2 linked regions of the Xenopus tropicalis genome follow. The protein of the gene in region 2 binds, or shares a complex with, the protein of the main gene of each other region. Links are inferred from orthologs where the notes say so. Each region holds a gene or a part of one and is shown on either strand. Other genes may lie near its edges. The genes, in order: tac1 and tacr1.

Region 1 (4,607 bases), on a different chromosome or scaffold from region 2:
ATTGTATTTATTGTAACTTTTCATTTTAAGAACCCAGTCGCAAAGAGGTGCTGCTGTAATGTCTTATAGCTTGTTAAAACTGAGGTCAAACAAGGGCACTGTGCATGAAATCTATGGACTGTGTTCAGCATTACCTCCGGATAGCAAACAATATGGCATAAATACATGTATTCATATAAGTATATGGACAGTGAAAAATAAGATCCTTTATATAAATAGACAATATTTTGCCTTTAACTACTTAACATGAGCATTAAATGTGTATTGGGGGGAGTTATGATAGGGTTTATTTTTTTAAAACCCTATGCTTTAATAAAGGTGCGTGAAAGCATCTAAAAGGTAAGAAAAATTTAAATCCTGACTAGATTTCAGAAAAATGAGGCTAAATTCTACTATTAATGGATAAATAAAATAAACACTCAGTGCTGGTTGTGCTGTACATACAGTATATAGTATTTATTGCTGATTTCTATAGTAAGAGCATTCTCAGGCTTAAAGAGATACTAGTAAATCTGTTCTATATGATTGATTTTCACTTTCCTAAGCAAATGTTGCTACTTCTACTGACTGCATTGGGTTTTCTGACATGGGTTTGGCAGTAGCTGTTAATAAAACTAATGGCACAATGCTGAGTTTTATATCTCCCATAAGATGATTTTGAATCCCCAGGACACCAGAGCAGTTTTTATTGCAGCGCCCTGGAGACCTACCTGATGCCTGATGCTGATTTATGGCATATAAATCAGGACTGGGTTAAGAGATCTCAGATGCGCTAAGGCGCACATTCATAAACATGCCCCACGGGGAGTTAACCACCAAAGGAGCAAGTCAAAAGCAAATGCAGCGAGTTCAAGTCTCCCCCTGTGCTGAAATATTTATACAACCTGGGAAACAGGGAAATAGCGATGCTACTTCAGTGATATTCTCAGATTTCCCAAAATATGGTCTTAACAGGCTAAAGGCATACTAGAGGAAAGCAGTTCATCATTGCCCCAATTATCCAGAGCAGGAGAGGAAAACACTCTGCAATTACCTTAACCCAGAGATCATTATGAAAACTCATTTCAACACTCAGCCACCTGGGAAAAACCATTGTTCATTTGCACCAGGCAATAACAGCAGCAATCTGGGACTCCCCTGGCATTAATAATTTACAGCCTTTGCCACTTTTGCAAGTTACTTGTACACATGGCTCAGAGAAGTTTTAGTTATTACAAATGTGTACAGCAAATATATTTATTTTTTCTCTTTTTGACATAGGAGATAGTCACTGTTTTCTCTGACAGGAAATTGTATACTAATCAGTATAAAATTATTTAACATATTTTTACAGTTATGGGACCTGTTATCCAGAATGCTGGGGATCTGGGGTATCCCGAATAGGTCCTTCCGTAATTTGGATCTCAATACTCGAGTCTTCTAAAAATCATTTAAAAACTAAATAAATTCAGTAGGATTATGTTGCCTTTAGTAAGGATTCATTATACTTTATCTTAATTAGGATTAAGTACAAGGTACTGTTTTATTATTACTGAGAAAAAGGAAATCATCATCAAAATTTTAATTATATGATTAATATGGAGTCTATAGGAGATGGCCTTCCCGTATTTCAGATCTTTCTGGTTAACAGGTTTCCGGATAACGGATCCCACACCTGTACCAATATATTGCTCAGAAACACAAAAGATCAGTACTTGACTGCCCAGCTCTCACTCTACTACCCCAGTTATATCAAGTTTGGTAGATTTAGCAAATTCTGTTATTTTAAGCTGAAACATTAGGACCATGCATTTACGTTTCAATACTATTAATATCCTTATGATTTCATTGTTGGTATAGTTTCTTTGATCAATTACATATTGCAGGAAAAGGGGAAGGATAGGAAATAAACACGTTATTCAATATAATAACCATTATATCTTGGTGGATGTATTTCATGTATGTTTTGTTCTGTAATAGTAAAACTGTTTACATGTAAATAATGCCTGCTCTCACTTTCCTTCTAACTTAGAACAATGTAAGTTCAATATAGACAAAGTATGGAAAAGGCAGCAGCCACATTCGTGCCATGTTCTGATGCTGTCACTTTTATCCATGCAATTCATGGAGTTTACAGGTAGACTTTACATTGTTGATGGTACAAGTTTGCTCTACACATATACACATTGTATACATATTCTGCCTATAGTGTTTAAATCTATAGGTGTATATTTGTGACTGCAAAAACAGATGTCAAAAGTATTTCATATTTCAGAATTTAGCATTATTTAGTGAGTATCCCACCTGAATTTGGTCGCTGTAAGGCCAGTCACTGTCTTCATTAAATCCAATTTCTGCCGCAAACACTTGTGCTGAAACCAGAAGAACGACAGCAAATGCTACAAGGATTTTCATGGCACCCTGTATTCACTGTAGGAGGCTGCAGTAAATTGCCCTGCACGGTGTCGGAGGCAGGTGCGGAGAAGACACTTAAGTGCAGAAGGATCAGTAAGAATATTTAGCAGCAGCTCAGCTGGGTGGATCTGTATTTCTGCAACAGAGAGAAAAGAGGAGAGAATTACTTTCTATTAATGCAAAGTAACAGACATAACAGAAGAAAACAATACATATCTACTTTCATGGATTAGTGTAAATAAAATAAGGGAGGTAAGTTTCATTCAGTCTTTCCCACATCTTACTAGAAATTCTTTGCTGGGATCAAGCAATGTCAGAGTCCTAAATGCACTTACTGTACTCAGTAGAAGAGGCTGTTCTTCTGTCACCCACCCAGGCTCGTGTGCCTGTGAATACAGTGTCTATCTGAATACACTCTGGAGAGCTCTCCACTATATATAAGTGGAGATGGGCAGGTCCAGAGGAGCTTCGTGTTCCTAAATCTAATTACTGCACTCAGTCTATTTACCATATGAAGCAGGGGGAAACAATATGACGTATATTCCCCCAGCAGTATTTCCTATCAATATTCCATTACAGAATTTAGAGGCTTCCCTACTTGTTCTTTAATCCTACCTCCCTTTTTTTTCCTCTGAAACATAGAATGACACTTCCCCTGGAGGTGACCCGCTGATGGCAATGACTCCACGCAATTTATGAGACGTGACGTCATTTACGAAAATCTTTGCACTCCAAACTGATAAATTCCTTTATTCTCTGCCGATAGAAATAAAACGTGGGAGCCCTTTGTCACCAACAATGAATCATATAAATCTTTATCTCTAATTTTTATTTCAATGAAGTTGTAGTATCTAGCGGCTAAACTCAGGAGGCAGTTATACATATATTTAGTATGGAAATAGAGCAATGGGGATGATTTATCAGGGTCCATTTGGCATGAAGAAGACCCCTACAGCTAAAGAATCTAGACTACTGATTCCCACTACTCAGGTGGTAGATTTTCTATAGTGTTTTCCTACTGCAAAAATGGGAATAACTAGTTTAGATTACAGTGGCTATAGAAAAAGCTGGGGAGAAAAATGTATAGGTCTTGCAGCAGAATTCAAAAGACTCTTGAAATTACCTTAAAATGAGGCTTTCAGAAGTTATTATTATGTATTTATATAGCATCAACATATTTCACAGCGCTGCACAATAGAAAGGTACTCATCTTATATACATATTGTATATAAATACTGATTGATACAAGAGTTAAAGACAGCCCTGTTCATTAGAGCTTACAATCTAAAAGTGTCTGGTCTTGGCTTGTAATCCTGCCAATTTCATGCCAAAAACACAGACCTGCCTTGTGGGGAGAAAGAGGAAAGTTATGTATGGACACTTGGGGGCGAGGAACAAAGATGAAGATAATGAGAAGCCAAAAGAAATCTGAAAAATAAAATATTTCTCTTTAGTTAACTAATATACTGCTTATTCTATAATGTTATTTAACACATATAAGGGTTGATTCACTAAGGTGTGTTAAAATGAGCGCTATTTATAGCATGCGTTAAAAATTTTATCGCATCTTATTTTCCGCGTCTTCACTAAAAGGATACTTGCGTTAATTTAGACGCAATGCTGTTTGCGGTATTTATGTCGCAAAGACTATTTTCGTGCGGTATTTGACGCAACACGCGCTAATTAACGCAGCGCGCACAAACTGTTGCCGTGTGTGCACGCCATATTAGCAGTACACGCCATTACTTACGGAAAACTACTGTTCTGAAAATGACCATTTCCCTGCAAACTGGCGGCTGCATCACTCTAGGGCCAACACAGACTTGAATAAATCCCACTGCAAAGTCCATATTGCCAAAAGCTCATGAACTGTACTTTTCTATAATTACCGCCTGCCCCAAGTAGGTGTTAATTTTTGCATACGCAAATGCGATATTTAGCGTGTCTAAGTGTTTGTGAATCATGCGTTAGTATTATTTCTGAGCCAGAATTAACGCAATGCATTAAAATGAATGCAATCGGTTGCACTCTATTTAACGCATGTGATATGCAACTTAACGCATGCGATAATACTTTAGCAAATCGCACGTTTTTTTGCGTCAATTCTAACGCAAAAAAGCATGCGATAAAGCTTATCGACCTTTTGTGAATCAACCCTATAGTACAAAACTGTGTAATTGACCTTGTCATTTAAATACTTCTCCCCCAGCAAT
Region 2 (3,825 bases):
TATAAGTCTGTCAAACTGTCAGTGCTCAAATGTAGTGATAATAAATACAATCAATGTATTTGTGTGTGCTCTAAGATTTTGTCTAATAAATACTGGTATAAAAAGTTAGTGAAATGATTCAAGTTGTGAGCGGAGATGACGAGAGAAGCCGGGAGACTTCAGAGGCCATTACAGGATGGAAAGAAATAAGACATGCAGAAGGGGGCTCAGGAAAGAAGAGCTGGTTAATTAATGGCTGCAATTTGTGATTTTTGTACTTTGCACACTCTTTTGTTCTTTACAAATGCTCTGTCCTCTGTTTCGGAGCATAAACAGAGATGTGTCGCTGACCCCATGAATATAGTGCTGACTGATATAGCCAGAACTGTGTTGGTGACATACGGTGGCAGAAGGTAAGGACAGGCATGGCTTGTATCCCCGACGTTGCTGTCTGCACCTTGCACCATTCATCTCAGCCAGTAACGTATACTTACATGGAACTAATGCAATGATGAATGTTTTAAACAAGAAGCACAGAAACTTGTCCTTGGATTCAAAGAGTGAGGGGATGGAACTAAAATTCTGCACCTGGCTTACCAGACAACTAAAATCCCTTTTACAAGTTATAATTTTCAGTAAATATTTAAAGGGAAATCAAAACCTCAGCACTTGATAAAGATTTTAATAGGGTCATTAGTACATTTAATACACAATACAAAGAGTTGGTGAAGTGAGGTGGCATTAAAACTTGGAGAATTTATACAGGGTCGGACTGGGCCGGCTGGGCACCGGGAAAAAAACCTGGTCTCAAGAGACACAAAAGAAAAATACCCAGGGATAGAGGTGGTGATTTGGATTAAATCCTTCTGCAACAAGAGAGTAGGAGGATATAACCTCTAAACACTTATGGCACCACATATGGACTTAATGGGGACATGTGGTATAAAGACATTTCTGTAATAAAAAAAAAAAGATGGCTTTTTTGCCTCCATGGGTGTCCCTGGCAGTAATATTAAAATTACACATTTTTGTTCAATGCATAAATGGTTATATAATCCATTTACATATGCAACCGGTTAGTTTTCCAGATTTAGAGCGGAAATAGAGGACAATACGCATATAAATGATATACTCACACTTTCTCAAACTTCCTGTTCTCAGATTCCGGCCACTCCATGTAGCAAACAACTCTATCCGGTGTAGGTTCAACAGTGGCGAAGTATCCCTGAGGAAAGGCTAATGCAAAGGCAAAACCCCAGATGACAGCAATCACTATCCTAGTGGCTGTGGCCGACAACCTTGGCTTCAGTGGATGGATGATGGCCATATACCTGTTGAGGAGCAAAAAGAGAAACTGATTTGATATCCACTTTAACAACACTTCCAGCATTGATACAGTTAATTTGCCAAATAAACAGAGCATTCTGCAGAGCTCCGTCCTTGGTCTACACTGTAATCTCCAGGTCCCTCACGCTTCTCCTCACCCATGTCCTTTTACAACGGGGGGCCATTATTTGTTATAATAAGCATGTATAATTCATGTGACAGAAATCACAGAGCTACAGCAGGACTGACCAACTGTAGGCTCCCCTGGAGGGTTTTTATGGCCCCCAGTATGCTGAAAGGCTCCATAGTCTTCACTGTAATGTCATCACCATTTTAACTGGGTCCAGCTGTCAAATATGATGATGAGAAATAATGGGGCCATTCTAGTAAGTAAGTTGGATGGCACTGAGATAGAGGATAGGTTCTACTGATTCTCTATATTTATTTGTTCAGGGAGGGCTTTCTTTTTTCATGCCCAGTGGGTCCAAGTGTTAAGGTGTGGCCTTAGAAGCCAAGGAAAGAAGATCCTATGCCCTGGCTTTAGCCATAATGAGCCTTAATGCTTAAAGTGGACCTGTCACCCAGACATGAAAAGCTGTATAATAAAAGTCCTTTTCAAATTAAACATGAAACCACAATTAATTTTTATATTAACACATTCAAACCCATTATAAATGCATTTAAAAATCACAGCTGTCAATCATATACTGCCTGCCCCGCCTCTAAGCCTTAGGCACAGAGGCGGGGCAGACAATTACTTAAACTTTCCATTCAGCACTCACATTCCCCCTCCCTCCTCACCATGTAATTATGTAACCAGTGCATGGACATGGGCATCAGGTCCCCCATTCTGGCACATATACAAGATTCTGGGGTGATACAAAGCTTGCCTTAATAACAGTGCCCACAAAATGGCAGCTGCCTGCTTGCTGTGATTGTATGTTCCCAAGACTGAAGGAAACAAGATATATATCATTTATATAGTATGTGAAGTTAATTTTGCTTAATAAACACAATAGAAAAGAAATTGGAATTATTTCTTAGGGTGAAGTTTAGCTGCACAGAATCTTTCCTGTGAAAGAATGAGCTGGAGAAAGACTGAAAGATTAGTGTCTGAATGCAACATTTATTTAGTAATAAAACGTGAAAATTCACTGGGATGTATTGTGGCACAAACTGATACACAGAGGCTAAATCAGTTTTATTTGATTTTCTCAGAATCCCACTTTCTTGGTAAAACTTGCACGACACAGTTCACATAATACACAGAGTCAACACAACTGATCTGCCTAAGGGCCAGGTGCATATTGCTGGTGTCAATCGCTCATCTGTTTCATTGTGTTTCCGACACTTTACAGTGCATTGATAGGTCTGTATAGACTTTTGTCTTTTTTCAACCCCAGTTAACTATGCAACCAATGACTTGTAATGTACCTGGCACGCAATGTAGACTCATTGTGTAGCCTATTAGGCTGTTTATATTGCTCATGTAAGATGAAACATTTAAGGTGGTCGTGCTGACTTATATTACATGACCATTGATTATGGCTTGAGACAAATATTTTTTAGTCTATCATTTTTAAAAAAAGTTAGAAAATGCACAGAACTAAAGCTGGTCATACACATGAAGATCCAGCAAAGTTGCCAAATGAGCAGATTTTACACCTGTATGCCTACCTTGGGGTGGGCAATACCAAGCTGATCCAATCATTTGACCCTCAGACCAATGGTAGGATCTTAATTGATATGCAGGCTGTTGGATGAAGGGCCACATCAACATGCAGATGAAATCCTCAATCTGATGGGCAAACCAGATGTCAATCAGGCAAACCTGCCCAATGGACATCTGGGTGATATTCAGCCAGATACAGGTATTGGCTGGGTAGGCCAGTCGGAGGGACCCATATACAGACAAATAAGTTGGCGAATCGGCAACTTAAATCTCCCTGTGTATGGCCACCTTTACTTATTACTAACAACAACAAATAAAGCAACTATATACTAATAAATAAAAGGCTAACATCATATACACTGTAGGCTGGTAACTATATGCAATAGAATTTACACACCATAGTATTAAAGGAATGGTTTCATAATTCTTCTGAGCTGAGTATTAGTCCAGATGTAGCAGTTATCCTAAAATGATATAGCTGCCTATTGCTATACCCATTCCCCAAGCTATTTTAATTAGCACAATATGGCACAGAATTCCATTAAACCTGATGTAATTTGTATCTTAAACTTCTACAATAGAATAACTCCCAGCATCTTTTGTGTCCTCAGTAATACAAAAAGAATACTTTTGGCACAGGTTACATCTTTACATCTGGGAAAATAAGGTTTCTCCCAGTCCCTTTAATCAGACTCACTGCATTCCAGCTTCCATTCTGCATGGTCCTATGAAAGTGCTAAACAGGCCACATACCTGCCTGCTGTGAGCCAAGGGAAACAGCTGGTGATGCTATTGTCTCACTGAAAATGCTCCTTTAAATTAGCTCTTCCATTTTTCTCTAAATGTCA

The links.
Region 1: the proteins of tacr1 (region 2) and tac1 are in contact, whole or in part, in a cryo-EM structure (PDB 7P02), measured with the Homo sapiens proteins. The link is inferred for Xenopus tropicalis from reciprocal best matches to the Homo sapiens genes TACR1 and TAC1. Residues at the interface, in NP_001049.1 of Homo sapiens: Gln24, Phe25, Asn85, Asn89, Tyr92, Ala93, Asn96, Trp98, His108, Asn109, Ile113, Gln165, Met174, Arg177, Val179, Cys180, Met181, Ile182, His197, Val200, Phe264, Phe267, Phe268, Tyr278, Leu279, Ile283, Gln284, Tyr287, Met291; in NP_003173.1 of Homo sapiens: Lys60, Pro61, Gln62, Gln63, Phe64, Phe65, Gly66, Leu67, Met68.

The regions. Positions count from the first base shown.
Region 1 is NC_030682.2:34,192,105-34,196,711, forward strand, and holds the start of tac1 (protachykinin-1), read right to left. Parts: upstream 2,866-4,607; 5' UTR 2,730-2,865; intron 2,531-2,729; 5' UTR 2,395-2,530; coding exon 2,284-2,394; intron 1-2,283. UniProt on the Homo sapiens protein: Tachykinins are active peptides which excite neurons, evoke behavioral responses, are potent vasodilators and secretagogues, and contract (directly or indirectly) many smooth muscles.
Region 2 is NC_030679.2:121,668,252-121,672,076, reverse strand, and holds part of tacr1 (substance-P receptor), read right to left. Parts: intron 1,311-3,825; coding exon 1,116-1,310; intron 1-1,115. UniProt on the Homo sapiens protein: This is a receptor for the tachykinin neuropeptide substance P. It is probably associated with G proteins that activate a phosphatidylinositol-calcium second messenger system.